Schizosaccharomyces pombe: one gene and its partner. The protein of the gene in region 2 interacts with the protein of the main gene of each other region in a pairwise test. Each region holds a gene or a part of one and is shown on either strand. Other genes may lie near its edges. The genes, in order: sog2 and nak1.

Region 1 (9,914 bases), 1.1 Mb from region 2:
CAAATTTATCTACATGAGAGCACGATTTAAAATAAGATATATCAGTTTGAATTAGAAAAAACCTAAACTAATTACTCTGCTATTTACGAAGTGGTTAATATGTGTATATACGTTAGCGCTACCTAAACCTAACAGGGCGTGTGACTGGAATATTCTTATAGGGTAGGGTTTTTGCTTAGTAGGAATGCTTGACAATTGCAAAAAATTAGCTTGCTTGCAGCAGTAGGTTTACAAAGAAAGAGACGAAATGGCTTTAAATTGTAATTATCTATTTGTCAAAATAGACTGTGAGTGTCTTGAACATTTCATCCAAATAAATAATCAAATTGATGTCCAGTATGTTGATCGATATAAGACAGGAAACTGAAAAATCTAGCATGTTAATGTCGTATGTAAATAAAGCACTTACAGTTTCTCTTTTTGTTCTAACTTAATTATGTCGGGGTAAATAGTTTTAATTTTTAAGGACAGAATGTCTTCTTCAAAGCAATCAAATTGAATTTTTTCTAGACCATCTGTAACAGAATCGTTATAAGAAGAAAATTTAATATCTTTTAAAAGAAGAACATGACCTGGACTTTTACTAATGTTCATCGTTATATTTGGATCGAACGCTTTGTCTATTAATCCCGTAGGAGCACAGCTTCGTATAATCATCAGAACATGAGCCATCATTTTACGAATCTGATTTAGCATAAAAGAATTACCTTTAATCGTAACAGGAATCCATTCCCAGTTTTCATAAACAAAAGGAGTTCCGCAAGTAACACTCTCAATGAATCGATAATTACTTGGTGATGTGGAGTCATCAGTGACAGTAAAGTTATGAAAATTATGCCGGCCTTCGTATTTCTTTAAAAGCTGTTGTAAAACCTTTAAACGATCCTCTTTTATACGATAATTCATATAGCAATAATATTCAGCTTGCTTTAAAGCCTTCTTTAATTTTGCTTGGGGAGGTATTACAATCCCAGCCGGAATAGGCTTTTCATAGAACATACCTTTAAATGGGTTAGTGAATGCATCTTTATTAGTATCAAACATTTCTTGTATTTCCTTCTGCTTAAGCTTCACTGTATTCCAAAAAGAAATCAAATCGTTCATTGAATAAACTAAATTTCTTTCTAACTCATTATCCAGTTTTCTTGATAAGTTTTTCTGCATTTTTTTAAAAAGAGGACAAGAGGGCTTAGGAGGAAGTAAAGCAAAAGAAGGAATTAAGTATTCATATGTCCTTGACTCGCAAGAAATCCTAGGATTAAAGTACTTTGGCGCAGGAAAGACACTCCACACACGAATTTGAGAACAAAGTGCTTCATTCAACTCAGTTTTAAGTAAGGAAATATCTAGTGGCTTATCGACAAAAAGATTTAATGATATTAAATTTCTTAATGTATGGACCCCTTTGTCTGTTCTAGCTGCTCGCGCAATACACAAATGTTCAGCATCAATGTTATTTGTTTTTAAATAGCCCAATTTTTTAAGTACAGCTACAACATCTCCTTCAATTGTTTTAAGGGGATTATTTATTTGAATCCCATGGTAACCATAACCAGAATATCCCAATAAAATGATGATACGAACTTTGTTAGATTCTTTTGTGCCCTCGATTTTTTCTCGCTTTGGTAATTTTGGTGTTTCTAGATCCTCTGCGGGTATATGCTCCTGTTGATTTTTTCTTTTCGAGATAGAAGTCATTTTTTATAAAACAAATCTTCTAAAAAAATTTAAAGAAAAAAAAAACACCACAGTTTACTATTAATTACAAAAACGTATTAAAACAAAAGACACAGAAAATATTGGTGTTTAAGTGTGGTATGGACGCAATCAAGAATGATGCACACGAGATTGAAATACGCTCATTTTTTAGCGACATATTAAAAGTCTTTACAACTAAAATATTAGATACGAAAATAAGATATCCTACTTTATTATCTTTGTAGATGAATAACGAAATTTTGGAGTTTTAATGTACAACATAATATTAGGTAAATCAGAAAGTGTTTAGTTATAAGGATAACACAATTAGCAATAAGTATCTATGACAAGCTGATCCATTAATAATTAAGGCAGGTAATTAGGTAAAGGAAAAGAGGAAATTATTTTGCTAGCAAACCATAGCGTCCGACAAATTGATAACCAAAAGATTAATTTTATACAATAAAAGATTACGGAAATAAAATGAGCGGAGCTCGACTTATTGTGGTGAACAGAACAAAACACAGTGATACAAAATTTGGTAAGGCTAATATCATCGACCGCGAAAACGGCACCAACCATTCCAATCAATAAGCGCTTGCATACAGCCCCACTCCGTAATTTTTTTCTCTAGCCAAACTAAAGAGACAGGCTTTGTAAGAAAATCATTGCAACCAGCAGCTAAAGCCTCGTTTCGATCAGCCATTAGGCTAGAAGCAGTAAGTGCCACTATAATCACAGGAGATTGAAATTTGTTTTCATTTAGCTGATCCTTTTCAGGTATCGGTTGTGTCAATTTTGGAGCACCAACTCCAATTGCGTTTAACCGCTCAAGTCTCCTAATTTCTTGGGTGACTTCAATACCGGACATCGTGGGAAGTTGGATGTCCATTAGAATCAAGTGAAAAGATTTCTTTTTCCACTTCTCGAGTGCTTCAAGCCCATCTTTAGCAACCTCCGAGGAAATATTGCGCTTCTTCATAAAAGTCTCTAGGATTTTTTGATTAATAATATTATCTTCAACAATCAAAACGTTAATTGGAGGAATCACTCCTTCAAGTAGACTAGCAAAAGGTGCTTTCGCACCTATGCCGGGACTTGTTAGAACATTGACTGGTGAAGTACCAACAATTCCATCTATTTGATTAGAAGGAAATCCTAAATGGGCTTGTGTATCAGCATTTAAGGGATCTTTGTTGTCTGCTATAGGAAATTGAGAACTGATATCAGGGTTCATCCTATTTGCTGCGTCAATATCAGCATTAACCGCGGGAAGGACTCCTGCGGTACCAGATTGTTTCGTATAAAGCGATGAATGACTAATACTTCTACTATTAGTGGGTGTCGCGACTTCGGCTTTCGCCAATTTTTCAGCTGTTGATTCATCAGACCGAGTCGACATTCCAATAGAATTTTTTCTAGTAATGGATTCGGCTTCGTCTGATGGTTGCGACTTGTCAGCTGAAGTTAGATCTGGTAAAGAGGGTCTTGAAGCCAATGTTTGCTGTCTAGAAGAACGAGGCAAAAGTAGTACGCCAGTTTTATTTACATTAGAGGAAGGAAGAGTTTGATGGGACCTAGTTCGGGATGCATTTCGTAAATTATAATTTAAAGGACCTCCTTTATAAGAATAAGTACTTTGATGTCGTGAAGGGGCAGAAACCGGGCTCTCAAGTGAATCAAGAGCAATGGATGGCTGTTTGATACGCGGGACTGTTTCGTTCGCTGGGGTAGGGATTATGTTAGGTGGGTATTCAGAAAAAACGGGAGGTGTTGATTCAAATGTAGAGGATGAGAGTTGAGAAGAGCGATATCTTAAGGCAACTGAGGTATCCGGCGACGCTACTAGAAGCGCGTCGTTAAAATCCTGACCATGAGGATAATAAGTTTCCATGACAAATAATATGCTTTCGTTGGGACTGAGTTCTCTAGATTGCAACTCCGATGATGCATTTGGTGGAGCTACTACACGAATCGAAAGCTCAGGTGCATCATAATACTGACTGATACGAATAGGGAATTTCCGAGCGATGGCATCTTTTAAATCGTCAACCAGATGATCTTCAGACAATATAACGGAGGAAGTAATCCCATCTGGAACTTTTTTAAACCAAATGCGCATCTTCTATATATCTTCTTTCTTTTGACTTAACCTCAACTTTCCTATATACAGTATGAACAACCAAAACAGCCGCCTGTTTTTACGTTTAACATTCGATAGCTTCTTGTATAATCCCCTTCTATTTTAAATTTAATAGAAATATACAAGTATAAAATCACTGTTCGTGATAAGGAATGAGTAAGGTATGGTTCACGATACAATACGGCAAGCCTACTTAAGGTGTTGAGTTTCGTTACCTAGTCGTGCAACAAGCGCTGGGGATTTAGTAGAGTACTTAGAGTAACACCTTCCATCTGAGGACAAAAATCGAATAAATTTTAACACGTGAAAATAATAGGCACAGCTAAAACTGCGATTGTAAATTATACATTCTACGATACGAGCAAATAAGTATTCGTTTAAAAGGGATACTGTTGTGTTATTGACTTACTATTAGAATTCGACATTACTAAAATTTAACTAATTGAGTAATTGTTTCTGAAATTTATTCCTTATTTTAGATTTTATTTAAAGTATGTAGTTTAAAAAAAAAAAAAATTAAACGTTATACCCATACTTAGTTGGCTACCATTAATGGTCCTATTACTACTTGTCAGGTTTGGATATTTAATGACTCAGATTAAATGATTTAATCAACACAAACCAATATTTTTGAAATTCAAAAATAATGAGGCTTCAATTTCTCAATGAGAAACCAAAAAAAATTATTTTAGATAGTAACCCATTTAGTCATAGAAAAAAAAACCGTGTTTGATTATATGTACAATTTATCAACTCATTTATTTTTATCAGGTTCTTAAATCATAATGATAAACCTAGGCGATTCTATTAGGAAGCAATATATTAAGGACTAATAAAATAAACAATAAATATTAATGATTAGGAAATCAAACGCACCAAGATAATCAAATTGATAAACAAACTATAGATAAATGACAGAAATATTGAATCAACAAAATTGCAACTCATTCAAAAAGTTATCAATTTACACTTAAAGAATTATTTACCACAAAACATACTGTAGCGTTAGCATTTGTTGCTCCTGTTAATAACGACTTCTGATCTCGATGAACTCAAAAAGTTCGAACCAACATAATATAGCGAGTGCTTTTGATCATTCAAGAATTAGAAATGAATGCTAACAATACTACATTACAATTACGAATTACTATATGTCACATGTTCTGATTACCTATCGTCTTACAAATGATAACAATACGATGTAGATCCACTAATAAATTTTTTAATTTATTAGCTAGAAATGATAGATGTAAAATCAAAGGAACAACGTTCTTTAGTTCAGCTGTGGTGGTTTGTTTAGAGATAAATTACATTACCGCCTTCATACAAGGATATCCGTAACCCCCGTTATCATACAACCATATGTACCGCTATGTAGTGCACATACGAAAATCAAGTAGTCTAACATATCATTAATGATAATTACGAACTGCATAGCTAAAAAAAATAAAACGCAATATCAAACTTAACGAAAATATTTTGTGTAAACGTTAATAAACTGTAATTATTTTAAGGAAAAGTGCTTATTCACGTTGTTAAAATAAAAAAGTACAACCTACAGATGCGTACACAGAAAGAAGTGAGTTTATTCGTTCCGCGAACTAGCTTGGCAGTAAATTTTGGGGAATTGACTTTTGTACATTATAGCATACCATTGTGGATCAATTTTATGTTCATTGCATTTTTTTAGTAATTATTACTTCTTAGAGTTCCTTTTTTTTTCAACAAAACCTTCGGATTTACGTCTGAGGTGATCGATCTTTTCATGCTATGTCTGCTCATGAGGTGTCCTCCACAAAAAACTCAGAAATTGAAAGAATTATTAAAGAGGCAGAAGATGCGGGTCCTGAAAATGCACTTACGTTAGATCTATCTCATCTAAACTTGCGGGAATTACCTTATGAACAATTGGAAAGAATCCAGGGTCGGATAGCGAGACTAGCGCTAGGCCATAACTTTATAAAGAGTATTGGTCCTGAAATCCTAAAGTTTACTCGTCTCCGGTACCTAAATATTAGATCGAATGTCCTTAGAGAGTTTCCCGAATCTTTGTGTCGACTTGAGTCACTTGAAATTTTAGACATTTCTCGCAATAAAATCAAGCAACTGCCAGAATCCTTTGGAGCTTTAATGAACCTTAAAGTTCTTTCAATTTCTAAAAATCGTCTTTTTGAGCTTCCCACCTACATTGCACATATGCCGAATCTTGAAATTCTTAAAATTGAAAACAATCACATTGTGTTTCCTCCTCCGCATATCGCTAATAATGACTTGCAAGATTCTGATATGCAGTTGTTTATTGCCAATATAAAGGGATATTTGTCGCGAAACGAATCAGTCTTTAGAACGCGAAGTGAAAGTACTGTTTCCGCTGCTTTATCCGCTTCAGCTAATCTTAGTCACTCGGAAGAAAATGACTCCTCTGTGGTTGATTCTTACTTATTTAGTGCCCCATCAGATACTAGCCATGCGGTTTCACCTGGCATGCTGACGTTTGTCACGCCAAGTCCCCATTCACATTCTCCTGCCGGGCATCAACAGTCCACACCCAAATCGACTTTGTCAAAGACAAATGAGAACTCAGAAGGAACATTGTATGATTCAAATGTTGCTCATGGATGCACTCATCCTCCATCACTTAATCAATTAAACAAATTTCATCTAGATGCGTCGCCTAGACAAGCCCGTCCTCGTAGGTCAGTTTCTTTAGCTACTGGCCTCAATTCTCCTTCTGTTTCAAAACCACCTTCTTCTGCTACAGGACCATTGTACCATTCACCCCAAAGCTCACTCACCAATTCCTCCGTCGCTAGTGCAGACGTTCAAGAACGTACTCACAATACTAACGGCGCTAGCCCCATTCAAGACCAAATTTCAGAATTCACTGATCAACATCAAAATCCCTCAAATAATGATGCTGCTTCCACACAATCGATTCTAAAAACAGCTCCAACGCAGTTGAGTGCGAGTGCTAAAACATCAGCCATAAGTTTACCTGAGGTTGCCAAGAAAGAGCGTAATAGAAGCAATAGTACAAATGATGATTACTCTTCTACTAGACTTCCATCGAGTGTTTTACATCGTCTTGAAGCCCTTAAAGAAGCGCGCAAACTTTCTGAGCAATTACCAAATCGAATTTTTGCTCAAGATCCTCATCCTTCCCCTCGTTTGAAAAAAGAAGAAACGCATGAAAATGGCTCCAATTTGACAAATGACTCGGTCAACAGCTACTTCAGTAACATTGGAGGGAGTGAGGTTGAAATGAAGCACTCGGCCTTTGAAAAAACTTTAGAGTCGTCTAGGGGCATATTGTTTTCGCTTTCGCAAGTCCAACAAGCCCTTCGTCAGCAACTTCTTTTTTGCAGCAACCCCGTTGTTTTAGATTCTATGCGTCATGTGTTACATACTGCCAATGTTCAAATTAAGCGGCTAATTCTGTGCTTTGAGGATACCCAACAAAGCAATGATGGAACTGCAAACATTAATTCCATAGTAAACGCTTCATTGTCTTGTATCAGCTCGTTTCGTAAACTAATTGAAGTGACAAAAAAATTTTTAAATGAGCTCACTAGTCGTGCGGATGTCCGATATGTTCGGCTTTTACTGCTAATTCTTTTCGATGCTGCAAAGGAGTTACAAAACGCCTTGGTACCATTGAGTCCATCACAACCCCATAGTGGTAATAACATATTCGCCGATCAGGTACGTCAATCTCCGACAAGTATGATCCGGACTGCATCTGGGCTTACGAACAGAATCGTTAGCGTTGAAAAACCAGCATCAGTGATGAATCCTGAAATTGATAAACAAATACAAGATCAGGTCGCTTTAGCAACAAACAGTGCAATGTCAGTTTTGACATTACTAATTGATGCTGTTCCTAAAAATAACCAGCCTGATCTAGTAAATGAAAACATCGCACCCAATTTGATTAGTAAGTTACGTGAATTGGGATCATTATCCGCCGCCGCCTGTGATGTTACTAGAAAACTTAAGCATCGCCTTCTAACTTTTCAAACGAATCCGGAAGAATTGGAATGGCAGCTTTTTTTGGACGACACTCAAGCATTTGTCAAGTCTATTATTGCAGTCGCAAATTTAGCGAAAGCGTTATCCAGTGAATATACATTCCAAAAAAGCGTATTAGCTGGTCTTTCAGCTGCAACAAGATCTACAAAAGATCTTACTATCTTACTTTCTTCCTCTGCTCGACATTACACTGAGTCATCTTTAGCCACTCCTGTTCCTTTGATGTCCCCAATAGCCCGCGTACCTGCAACACCGTTGTCAGCGGCTCTGGGTTCGGCTGCTCAATCTATTACATCTCCTCTAATCATGTCACCAGCTGCAATTCCGGCGTCAGCCTATAGTACTAATAAAATCGATTACTTTACTGACGCGGATGGGAACGTGGAAGGTTTACAGCGCTAAAGAATTTTTTAATGAAGATTGATGAGGAATAATTGGTAACTCGATAACTCAAAAGCCTACAAAGACTATAAATTTAATGATACAAAAAATGATGCACGATTGAATTTGATTAATTTATTTCTTATTCAAATAACAAAACCAAGGACAAATTGTAAAGGATGATGGTACAAGTAGTGATTAATCTGTTTCCACATGAAAATCATGTACAAAAATTAGACAGAGTGTGTAGTTTTGGGTAGGTACTCTTTGACAAGACAAAAATTTTTTCTAATTAATTGCTTTGCTTATTTTCAAGTTTCATTTCGCATCTTCTGATGATGTCTTCAATTTCATTGATTTCGCCTGAACTCAGTCTGTGGTACTCAATGCTGGAACTATCAGTTGGAACATCAAGTGCTTGAAATGCAAACTTTTTAGCTAAGGAATAGTTTCCCAGATAATATTGTTCTTCCGCTGCAAATTTTGATTGCTCTAAAATATAGGCTTCTTCACCGAGGACGACGCCATTTTTACTAAGATGCTGAATAATCTGTTAAAATCATAGACAATAAATTGGGAGTAAAAAATGAGTAACATACACCAAAACATTGAACTCTTGGAGTCCATCCATCAGTTTCAATGCTTACTTTCTGTTTTAATCGCTTATTCCGTTCAAGCTTTGACTCACTAACATCAAAATCCAAATCAATCGCCAGCAAATCCATTCTTACTAGAACATTAAATTCTTTTGATCGATCAGATATATTTAACAGATAATGGACTATATAATAAAGCCTGCTACAGCTGTATTTTACTAAAAAAGTGTGTAGTAAAAACCTTTTAACCCCACAATGCTTACGAGTAACAAAACTCCAAAAAAGCAAAATCTTAATTGGCTATCAGGTAAAAAGTGTTTGCTGAAGAGACAAGGTCCCTTAATTAGACGTAGAATAGAAAATTAAAAAATATATTTTAATTAAGTGAAATATTAACATTACAATACCCTTTTCAGATGGTTCGTGGAGCAAGAGATGCTATTTTAGTATGATGTTTTGTTCTGAGCTCGTTGGCAACGACTGACAAGATACGGGTTCCCAGAGGCTCACACTCCTTATTAACCAAGACGCAGGCATTATCATCAAAACGAACATAACGACCATCGGGTCTTCGAACTGGTGATTTCGTCCGAACAATGATAGCATGGTGGATATCACCGCGTTTAACTTTATTAGCAGCAGTAACTGATGAACCGCTTCGTGCCTTTTTTACCACTACTACCACTTCATCACCTGTTTTTTAAAAAAAGGTGATGTTAGTCGAATATAAACAAAAGATCACTTCGTGCTACTTACCAAGTGAAGCGAATTTTCCCGCGCGAACTACACGAATGCACTCAGCTAAGGTAGCACCCTTTTCCATCTTATTAGTACAAATAGTAATATTTTAAACTTACGGAATTGTCGATAACTTTGAGTATACCTTTAAGTCCGATCATTGCTAAAGATTCAAGTACTTGACCATACATTCACGTACTCGCTTCCACTATAAATTACACTATGCGTAATATTAGAATTTGGTATTTGACGTTAGTTGGCATATCGTAGTATGTAACACATCGCAAAATATATAAATAAAAACAACTGTTTGTATTAAAAAAAAAGCG
Region 2 (9,620 bases):
TATTGGAGCAAAATTTTTTCCTTTCTTTTGTTTCAAATCTCAAAATTATTGACAAGAAAAACAATGAACCAGATGAAAATATACTTCCCCTACACTTTTATGGCGAATTAGTCAAATCTCCACAAGGTTGTGAGGTTCTCGAGTCTTCTGGGCATTTTGAATCTTTTATGGGTACCTTGGTGGAATTTTACGATAAACCGTTAGGAAATGAAGCCATCAGGCAGTTAAAGAGTGCTCTTTGGGCTATAGGAAACATTGGAAAAACCGATCAGGGTATTACGTTTTTAATTAACCATGATACGATACCGTTGATTGTCAAATATGCCGAAAATTCATTGATTCCTACTGTTCGAGGAACTGCTTATTTTGTATTAGGCTTGATTTCCAGGACTTCTAAAGGCGTTGAGATACTCGAATCACTGCATTGGTATAGCCTTATGTCTTTAATGGGCACTTCACAAGGAATTTGCATTCCGAGACATGCTGGACAAGTATTATCAACTCCAAGGAGAAATGTTGAGTTTGTAAATGAGCGCGTGCCAACTCCTGAGTTTTCTTCATTACTTAGCTCTTTAACTAACTCAGAGAGAGAGGTAATTAGGCTCGTTTCCAATTTGTCAAACCATGTTTTAACAAACGAGTCAGCACGGCAACTAACAAAGATTCGTTCGAAAAATGCTAAAGTTTTCTCCTCTAAACGTTTGGTGAAAGCTTGTATGACCATTCTGGGAAAATTCCATTACCGTGTTCAGATTCAACAATTTGTATTTGAATTATTTCCTTACTCGGTTTTATTGTCTTCCTCAACCTCACAGGACTTAAATGAATCCCCGTCCAGGCCGAATAATTTGTCAATTTCCGCATGAACTCCAAATTTCCGAACCTTCACTTTTCTAAAATTTTTGTAAATTAATGATTTTTATGATTTCTTATTATCGTTTTTCTTCTGTTATTCAATAAGTTTGATCTTTAGTTTTCTGCTTATTCTTTGACCTTCCCTCTTTGTTTCTTTTCATAAGTTTATTTACTAAGTTAGACTAGTGTTTACATAAAAGGTGATTGCGCTAGGGTTAGTAATGAGTTTATAATTGTTTTTGGATGTTTAAATTATTAATCTAATATTTATAAGACATGTCTGATACTTGCGGATATTTTTTTGAATTTGTGTAGTTTAGGTAGGCCTGCTTAGCCCCTGGCCTCCATACGATAGTAATATGAACAAGAATATATTGCCTTTCATCTTTTCGTGCTAATTTTTACTTTGTACGCTGTTATTATCAATATAAAAATTGCGTACCACAAAGGTGTACTTATATGTAATACCCATGCTTAGCAAGTTATGCTCAACTTCCACATACAACGTATGCAACGAACGGCAGCCTCATGTTATAGTAAATTAGCAAATCCTATATAACTAAACGAAAGTGTATTTGCTTAACATATCGTGGAGTTTGGGCATATTTCTGCTCACAAGTAAATCTCATACAACATCGCATTTGGTTTTAATTTGTTTTGGTTGTTCGCAAGGAAGAAGATTATTCTTTAAAAAAAAGGAAATAAATTTATAAATATAATTTGAAAAAAAATATATATATATATATTTGGGTTTTTACACTCTTTTGACTACATAACTCGATAGGTTTTCGGATTTGTTTAATAGACAAAAGAAGGAAGTACGTTTAAGGGTTTATTTCTATGGAACATTATTGATTTTTTTTTTTTCTTGCTATGTACAATGTGACATACAGGTTACTTCGTCTAAGCTTGATTTCTTCTCATTCTTTAAGAAAATCACGGTCCTTCGATGTCAAAAACTTTGCAAATATTCATTTTTTTATTCCCTTACCAAACACACCAAAAAAGTTTTATTCTGTGAATGCATTTTCCCCTTTACTAAAAGCACGGCGCATGACAGCTACGATTGTAAGCAATCATAATGTTGGTTGTTCATGTTGCTACTTTCGACAGTATAGCACAAAACAATTTCGTGATTTAAATACCAGTGAAGCTCTTTCTCCATGTAAAGCTGAACCGATACCCTATAAAATCATGTCTTCCATGAGTAATTTTTCAGATTTTAAGTCTCGATTTTCACAATATCGAGAATCACATTTAAAGCTACTAAATGAGCTTCAAAATGTTAAAGACACAAATGATCTAAAAGACAGAATACGCTTACTTCATCTCAATAGCTCTTCTAAACTTAATGCTTTTTTACACGATCTTATAAACGCGCCAAATGTGTCAGCAGAGATGAAGGAAAATTGTGTTCGTCTGATTTTTTTTGGAAGGAAGTATGATCCTTTTCTTAGATCGAGGATGTTCACTTTAACTATTCGTTACTTTCTACTTCAAAAAAATAGGCTTAGGACTAGTTTTTATTTATTAAAACATATGGAGTTATTGGCTCTTCCTGCTTCTTATGAATTGAAAACAACTCTTTTAGAGTGGTTCTTACGAAAACGAAAATTTGAAACAGCTCAAAAGATTTTCCTATCGCTCTGCTTTTCCCAACATTTTCCCTCCGAAAAGTTATTGATGGTTTTACTTCTTCATGGGACTGAAACTATGCAGGAATATGCGATGATACAGGCAATAAATTTTGTGAATACAGAACAAAAGTTACGGTTTTACGATAGACTACACTCGATTTGTAGCAAGTTAAAGTTTTCCTCGACGGGTTGATGCTTTGGTAATAAAAATGGTTCATTTGGATGGTTATTTAAATACAATATTAAGATTTCTACTGTTTGGGTATTTAGTAAGGTAAATTAAATCATTGTAATTTTCGTTCAAATTGTAACTCATATAAATTAAATTATCCCTCATCTTGTTCTTTAGTTATTATCACGACAATAAATTTACGACTCTATTCCTTAACCGTGGGCACTATTTTAATTTAAATGTTCTGTATTTGGCATCATTATCTCAACAATTTAGATTTTCATAAAAGATGAACGAATATATTAGCAAAAAAAGAGAAGTTAAAACATTAAATAAATTAAAGATTATATTATGAAAGGACTAAAAGCATCATAAACAGTTATTCATTATATGCTTTTCTGTTTAAAAGATTACATTCCAAGCTCTTTAGACAAGCGTCCATTTCTCCCAAAACGATGTCTATTTCTAAGCTCAATACAGACTTTATATTGTGCATATTACCTGGATAATCATTAAATAATTCCATATTTAGACCTCGAACCCCCAGAGAATCGTAATTATCATTTGCTAATGGTTGAACGGCCGGTGAGCCAATGGATAAAGGGGGTAAATGAGCTCTTAATTTCGAATTAAATGGCTTAGGAGTGGACGAACAGGAGGAAATTTTAGGAGTAGAACTAGCGGATTCAAGACTAGGTTTATGCAAAATAGAGGGAGAAATCGATTTCGGAGGAGGTATACTAATTGACCTATTAACCTCTAATGGCTGTAGCACTGCCGAATGTTTATGCGCTGGCGCTTCTAATGGTGTAGATAGTTGTTCAAATGCGCCCATCGATATACTTCTAGATTGGAGGTCGAATGAGGATGGCATACGAAGACCCGGCTTCATTGGTGACATGGATATTCCTCGTTTTCCAAGAGAAGTTTTTTGACGTTGCACAACTCGAGGCAGGGGTCGTTTGATACTTTGATCCGATGAGGTTTTGGAATTTGAGCGTGTGCGACCTACAAACAAATCGTAATCTTCAGCTTGCTTAGTGTGTTTCGATTGAATGGTTGATTTTTTGGAGGATAGATTTGAGGAATCTAAGCTAGGTAATTCGATTTGAGAATAAGATACTTCACCTTTGGAATCCTCAGTAGAAGCTCCTTCAGCGTTACTGGGAGAATCATCATCCGAAATCTTTGAATCCTTAAAAAGTTGTAATAACGGATGGGAATCATTAGATGAAGGGGGTTCATGCACTGTGGAAGATTTTGGAATTACAGTTCCAGTTACAGTAGTGGAGGAAGTAGCAGCGGTAGTAGTGGAGGTGGAAGTGCCAGTGATGGATGAAACGTTACTTTGACCTTGTTTAATAGTGCCAAATTCCCAACCATCATCAGAAGCAGCGGTGTCGGAGGTTTCCTGATCAGGGTCGCTTCCATCATCGGCTTCTTCACCCAAGAGTAGCGTTTGGGGTATGCCGCCAGCAGCCTGCCAAGTGTCATAGCGTTTTACAACATTGGTAAGTTCAGAAATAGACATGCGAGAATATTGTTTGATAAATTTTGATTTCAAAAGTTCGGAAGAATCTAATCTCCTCTGAGGGACATCCTGCAAACAAGAGGCAATGAATTCTTTTAAAAGAGCACTAAAATTTCCATTGAGTCTAGGGGGTGCGGTGTGAGCGATTAGGTAAACGGCACGAAAAGGATCCTCTTTGGCATGAGGTGGAGATCCAGTAGCAATTTCATATGCAGTGATTCCGAGCGACCAAATGTCAGCCTAAACTTTGTTAATAATTTTGTGGAATAGGTAAAGGGCTATAAGTAATCAGCAACGAAACATACCATAACATTATATTCCTGACCATCTCGAATAACTTCTGGTGCCATCCAATAAGGCGTTCCAATAAACGTGATTCGCTTTCGGCGATTGATGTTTAGTTCGGCAGCAACGCCAAAGTCACATAGCTTGACATTTCCAGACATGGAAACTAGGATGTTGGCAGCTTTTATATCACGATGGATGATACCTGCATGATGAATAAATTTTAATGCCTGTAAGGTCTCTCTAAGGATCAAAGATATGCATGGTTCACTAATGGGACCAGCCTCCATCAAAGTACGCACGCTACCTCCATGACAATAATCCATTATAATCCATAAATTAGTACCTACCAAATAAGAGCCATGATACTTTATAATGTTTTCGACATCGGACTGTTTCAATTCACTAAGAACAGCGACTTCTTTCTGAATATCAGAGACTTCATCCTCATCGGTATCCAAATTAAGAATCTTGATGGCAACAGTCTCTTTCGTTAAATTGCAAATTCTTTAGAATGTTAGAAAATGTAGAAAAGAATCACTCGAATAATATTCATACCCTCTATAGACTGCGCCGTACGAACCGCGTCCCACCAATTCTAATTTTGTGTACGGCGAAGAAGCAGTGTTATTTTCCATTTCTAATAACTTTAGCTGCTTAGCAGATACATGAAGAATTTTAATTGAACAGGTTCAATTCAAACTCCTTCAATTCCCTTTCACTTTTTCTATACTGCTGGTGGTAGCGGGTACGAAGGAATTGAGTAGATATATATTGAAAAACTGTTTACTATAATACTCAATTTGTGCAATCCCTAAATAACAAACAACTTATTATACTATTTTTTTTCAATACCGAAGCTTTGCGAGGAAAAATACAGCAAATTTAGCAGGAGAAATGAGAATATCTTATCGAGTTTAGCGTAACGTAAAACTAACGATATCTTATCTGTATTTTTCTACTACGCTATGTCGTTAATCAGTATATAATCTGTAGTTATTTATATTTCCGTTCCGCAGCGGATATATATCCGTTCTTTGAGAGTAATTATCTTTAAGACTAAAATCCTTTAAAATAAATCGACCGAATTTTTGTTCCTCAGTTCAAATTGTAAACAATTTATACAGTTATAGTAGTACCCAATGTCTTGTTTATATCCAAGGATATTTAAAGCCCATATTCGTAAACCAACTTTACATAATGCATACAATCATATAAGATCCTTCTCACAATCTACATTTTACGGATTGCAAAATTTCCACTATCTAAGCTTAAGAGCTGAAAGCTTCTCACCTTACAAATATGCTGATTTTCGTAGTAAATAATAAAATGAGATGACATTACTTATTTACTCGGTCGATTTTTGAGAATTTGCGTAAAATACTAATTTGTATCTTAAGATAAAGATACTAAGTTGATTATGTAAATCCGAGTATGCATGGTTGTCTGGTGTGTTACGTTTAGTATGCTATCCATTAGCTTGTACACTGTTCTCCAAACCATTTCATTTTTTTTATGAAATTACCAATTGGTTTGTAATAAGTTGCTTTTTAGTTAATTTAACGAGCATTACTGTTGCTGCTCATCTTGCATGGCTATCGTTTCGAACCGATCATATAAAATATTCGACGAAACAATCGCATAATAGGAGCTAGTCAAAGAAATTTTAAATTTTTGTACAATTTCTTGAGGGCAGCTTAGTTTTGTTTGATGGGATGACAAATCCCGGTATTTACAGACTTTCAATTCAATGAATTGATTTGATGCGTCCAATACCCACATCGCTATTTTAAAAGTGTAGTAAATAAAAATAATGTAATGTATATTATTAATTTATTATTACATTGCCGAGTAAAAAGGGAGTAAAACGAGAAATCAATTGAAGGATTTGTATTTTCTTTATTCTTTCGTTTACTAATTTTTGTAGCGATGACCTATTTTAAAGGTTAGATAAAGTAAGTCAACACGCTGAGCTTAATTGAGATTATCGGTGCGAGCGATCGATTGTAACAATCAATCGCAACAATCAAATGATAATGTATTAAGCAAAAAAAGGAAACTTGAAAGAAATATAGAAATGAGCGACCCTTAGCTCTTCGACCTGGGTGAACAAGAGTCGTTGTACATAATAAAAATATAACAAAAAAGAAAACCCCAGACAAATCACAGTTTCAAGCATATTATACAATCATAGAAATTTGCATTACTAAAAGAATTTCTCTTAAAAGATTAATTATCTAAACATTCCTGTATATCGAAAATCGTAGTTGTATGTACAGAGAGACATGGTACTTTTATTTATCAATAAAAACAGTATACCAACAACCAAGGGGAGGGCATTCTTCATTGTCAAAACTCGTCAGTTTGACTTGTAAGAATTCGCAATTCAAATATTTCCTAGGAACATGACTTTCAACTCGTCCTTTAATGAGCCCACTTTGCACTGCTAATCTGGGATGGGTGGTATCAGCACACTTCCTACTGACACTAACGCTAATGTGCCATGATCGTAAAATTGCAAAATCTTCGCTATCGCAAGCAGAATGTTTGTTTTCTCCGAAGTGTTAAGGAATGTATCGAATCGTATGGTAAAATCATTCCATCATCCAAAGGTCAGTATACGATATTGGCACGCTAATGCGTACAGGACAATGCTAAGCCTCTCTCTTTACGAGTTGCTCGCTTGAACGACTTATAAATTCCTTTAAATTAGTAACCAAGCGAGTAGTTTGGTATTTTATTAGAGGATTTGCCTTCCCCGAGCATCCTCGGAAGTACCGGCTGTGAAACTGCGACACCCACCTTGCAATAGCTAACTAGTACTTACCAACCCCGTAGTGTGAACCTGCTTTGTACACAATACAACAAATAATTCTAAAAGCGCAATTTATTAAGTTAAGTTTACCCATCTAGTGGAGAACAGTGTTATTTGAGTTGAACAGAATTGTTATTCAATTTTAAAGAGTGTCAATTTATCGGTTACTTTTTTTTTACACATCTACAATTCTTTCATTGTATTTGGGTTTAAATCTTTTGTCTGTTATCTCATTTTCCTCATTGAATTCTTTTTTTTATTGTTTTCATTTGTTAAGTTTTTCAATTTTTATTACAATAGCCATTGTTCATGACTGTTGTCGTAGGAGTCCTACAGATTGACGATATGGGGAAAAAGTCATCATTCGCTAGCTGGTGGAAGCAATTGCGGGTTAAAAAGTCAGATGACAATAAATTGTTTGGTCTGAGCCTTACAAGGGCTTTGGAAGTATCGAAGGTCGCTATCTTTCTGACACGCCGAGACGGTGAGAAAGTATTTTATGGCTACATTCCCGCTGTCGTTGCTAAGTGCGGGTTTTTTCTTAAACAAAATGCTACCCAAGTAAAGGGAATTTTTCGCGTTAATGGTTCTTCCAAACGAATCCAAATTCTCCAAAAAGCTTTCAGTACAGGCCCGGATTATGGCCGAAGTTTTGATTGGGAAGGATACACAGTTCATGATGCTGCCAATGTTTTTCGGAGATTCATCAATCTAATGCCAGAGCATGTGATTCCTTTGGAGTATTATGAAAGGTTTCGTGAACCCATGACAATTCCCAATCTTACAGACAATGAGCGAGTGGAAATGTATCGTCGACGCATTGATGAATTACCGATTCCAAATCGCCAGCTTTTACTTTATTTACTGGACTTACTTTCCGTTTTTGCGATGAACTCGTCGAAGAACCTGATGACTGCTGATAATTTGGCTGCTATTTTCCAACCTGGAATTCTATCTCATCCTGATCACGAGGTTTACTCAAAAGATTATCAAATATCGCAAACGGCTCTTTTGTTCCTTATCAATCATCAAGGAAGCTTTATCAAAACCATTCCTTTGTCTTCACTACCTCCTCTGGTAGCTGCGCCTACTTCTCCAAATACTTCTTCTACTTTAATTACGCAATCTGCTGCACCTACTCCTATAGCCTCGACATCCATTAGGATTAATTCTTTTAATCCAAGAAATGGATCCATTAAGCGTTGGCGCTCTTTTAGTCGTCATTCTAGTGCCACTTATTCCAATAGTCCGAGTTCAAATTTTTCAAACATGAAAAGCTCCGAGGTGGATCCTGGTTCACCCCCAAGAATCAAATCTCGTTCGTATTCATTGTCTAGAAGCTCATCTATGAAGCTTTTCCATACACTTGATCGCCGGAGGGAAAATCGTATGTAATACTTTTAATTGTTTTTCTCTGTTTATCTAGTTTAATTGTCTTTGTCCTTGGTTGTATGGCGAAGAATCTTTTTGTACATATATACTTAGTTGTTACCGTCCGCTCTTTTAGTTTTATTGGGATTTGCATTTAGGCTGGATACCGCTACTGTCGTTTTATGTTTTTTTCTTTGTATTCAGCCATTTTCATTTTAGAAGTTCTACTTAACCATAGTAAGAACAAATTATCCAATTCGTTATTGTTTTTTGTAATTGTTTTTTGTTTTGGTAGATCAATATATTTATCTACATAGTAAATTTATCTGACAGCTTTCAGCTACTTTCGTAATTTTAAATTTTTATTAATTTGGTGTCCATATATCTGTACAAAGAAACTTTTATGAAAACAACAACGACATTGTAACCAGAAAGGATTTATCAATCTATACTTTATTAGGCTCCAAGGAGATCCTGTAACAATTGTAAGAGGCGCTTCTGATCTTCAGATAACTCTTCATCATTATTCACTGACAAAAACAATGGTATCTTCAGGTCTGCAAGGATTGCAAGCTGTTCTTTGTACATCCTGTTTGTCAATTGTACCACTTGTTCATCAAATTCTTGTAAAGCCCTATTGTCATCTAAAGTTTGAGCGGAATCATTGTTGGTCTGGTCATTAAGACAATTGGACGGTTGTTTCAATTTAGGGTCGGAGGAAAGCGGTTTCAGTATTTCTTGAAGCTTAGTTTTCGACTCAAAATGTTGAACTAGCCGCTGCCGTTCCAGAGACCAGTTGCGCTCTTGACGTTCCTGCATAGCCTTCATCTTTCTTAATTTTTGTAACTTTTCGGGATGGCGGGAATTTAGGGCAAAGATGTACCTCAAGGCAGCGGGATAGGTTTTAATTTTTTCTGCGTCCTCTATAGAATTGTTCAACTCAAAATCAGAGGG

The links.
Region 1: the proteins of nak1 (region 2) and sog2 interact in a two-hybrid assay, tested with the Schizosaccharomyces pombe proteins (one study listed by BioGRID).

What each region holds. Positions count from the first base shown.
Region 1 is NC_003423.3:3,551,180-3,561,093, reverse strand, and holds sog2 (leucine-rich repeat protein Sog2), read left to right. Parts: upstream 1-5,437; 5' UTR 5,438-5,611; coding exon 5,612-8,272; 3' UTR 8,273-8,414; downstream 8,415-9,914. Other genes in the region: tRNA pseudouridine synthase Pus2, read right to left, coding at 306-372, 410-1,698; response regulator Mcs4, read right to left, coding at 2,252-3,820; SPOM_SPBC887.08 (uncharacterized protein), read right to left, coding at 8,544-8,792, 8,851-8,976; mrpl38 (putative mitochondrial ribosomal protein subunit L38), read right to left, coding at 9,260-9,540, 9,604-9,661, 9,705-9,746.
Region 2 is NC_003423.3:2,479,203-2,488,822, forward strand, and holds nak1 (PAK-like kinase Nak1), read right to left. Parts: upstream 5,224-9,620; 5' UTR 5,119-5,223; coding exon 5,039-5,118; exon of another isoform or gene 4,988-5,038; coding exon 4,501-4,987; intron 4,436-4,500; coding exon 3,044-4,435; 3' UTR 2,865-3,043; downstream 1-2,864. Other genes in the region: target of rapamycin complex 2 subunit ste20, read left to right, coding at 1-866; SPOM_SPBC12C2.01C (uncharacterized protein), read left to right, coding at 1,729-2,685; Rho-type GTPase-activating protein Rga5, read left to right, coding at 7,605-8,690; SPOM_SPBC557.02C (uncharacterized protein), read right to left, coding at 9,123-9,620.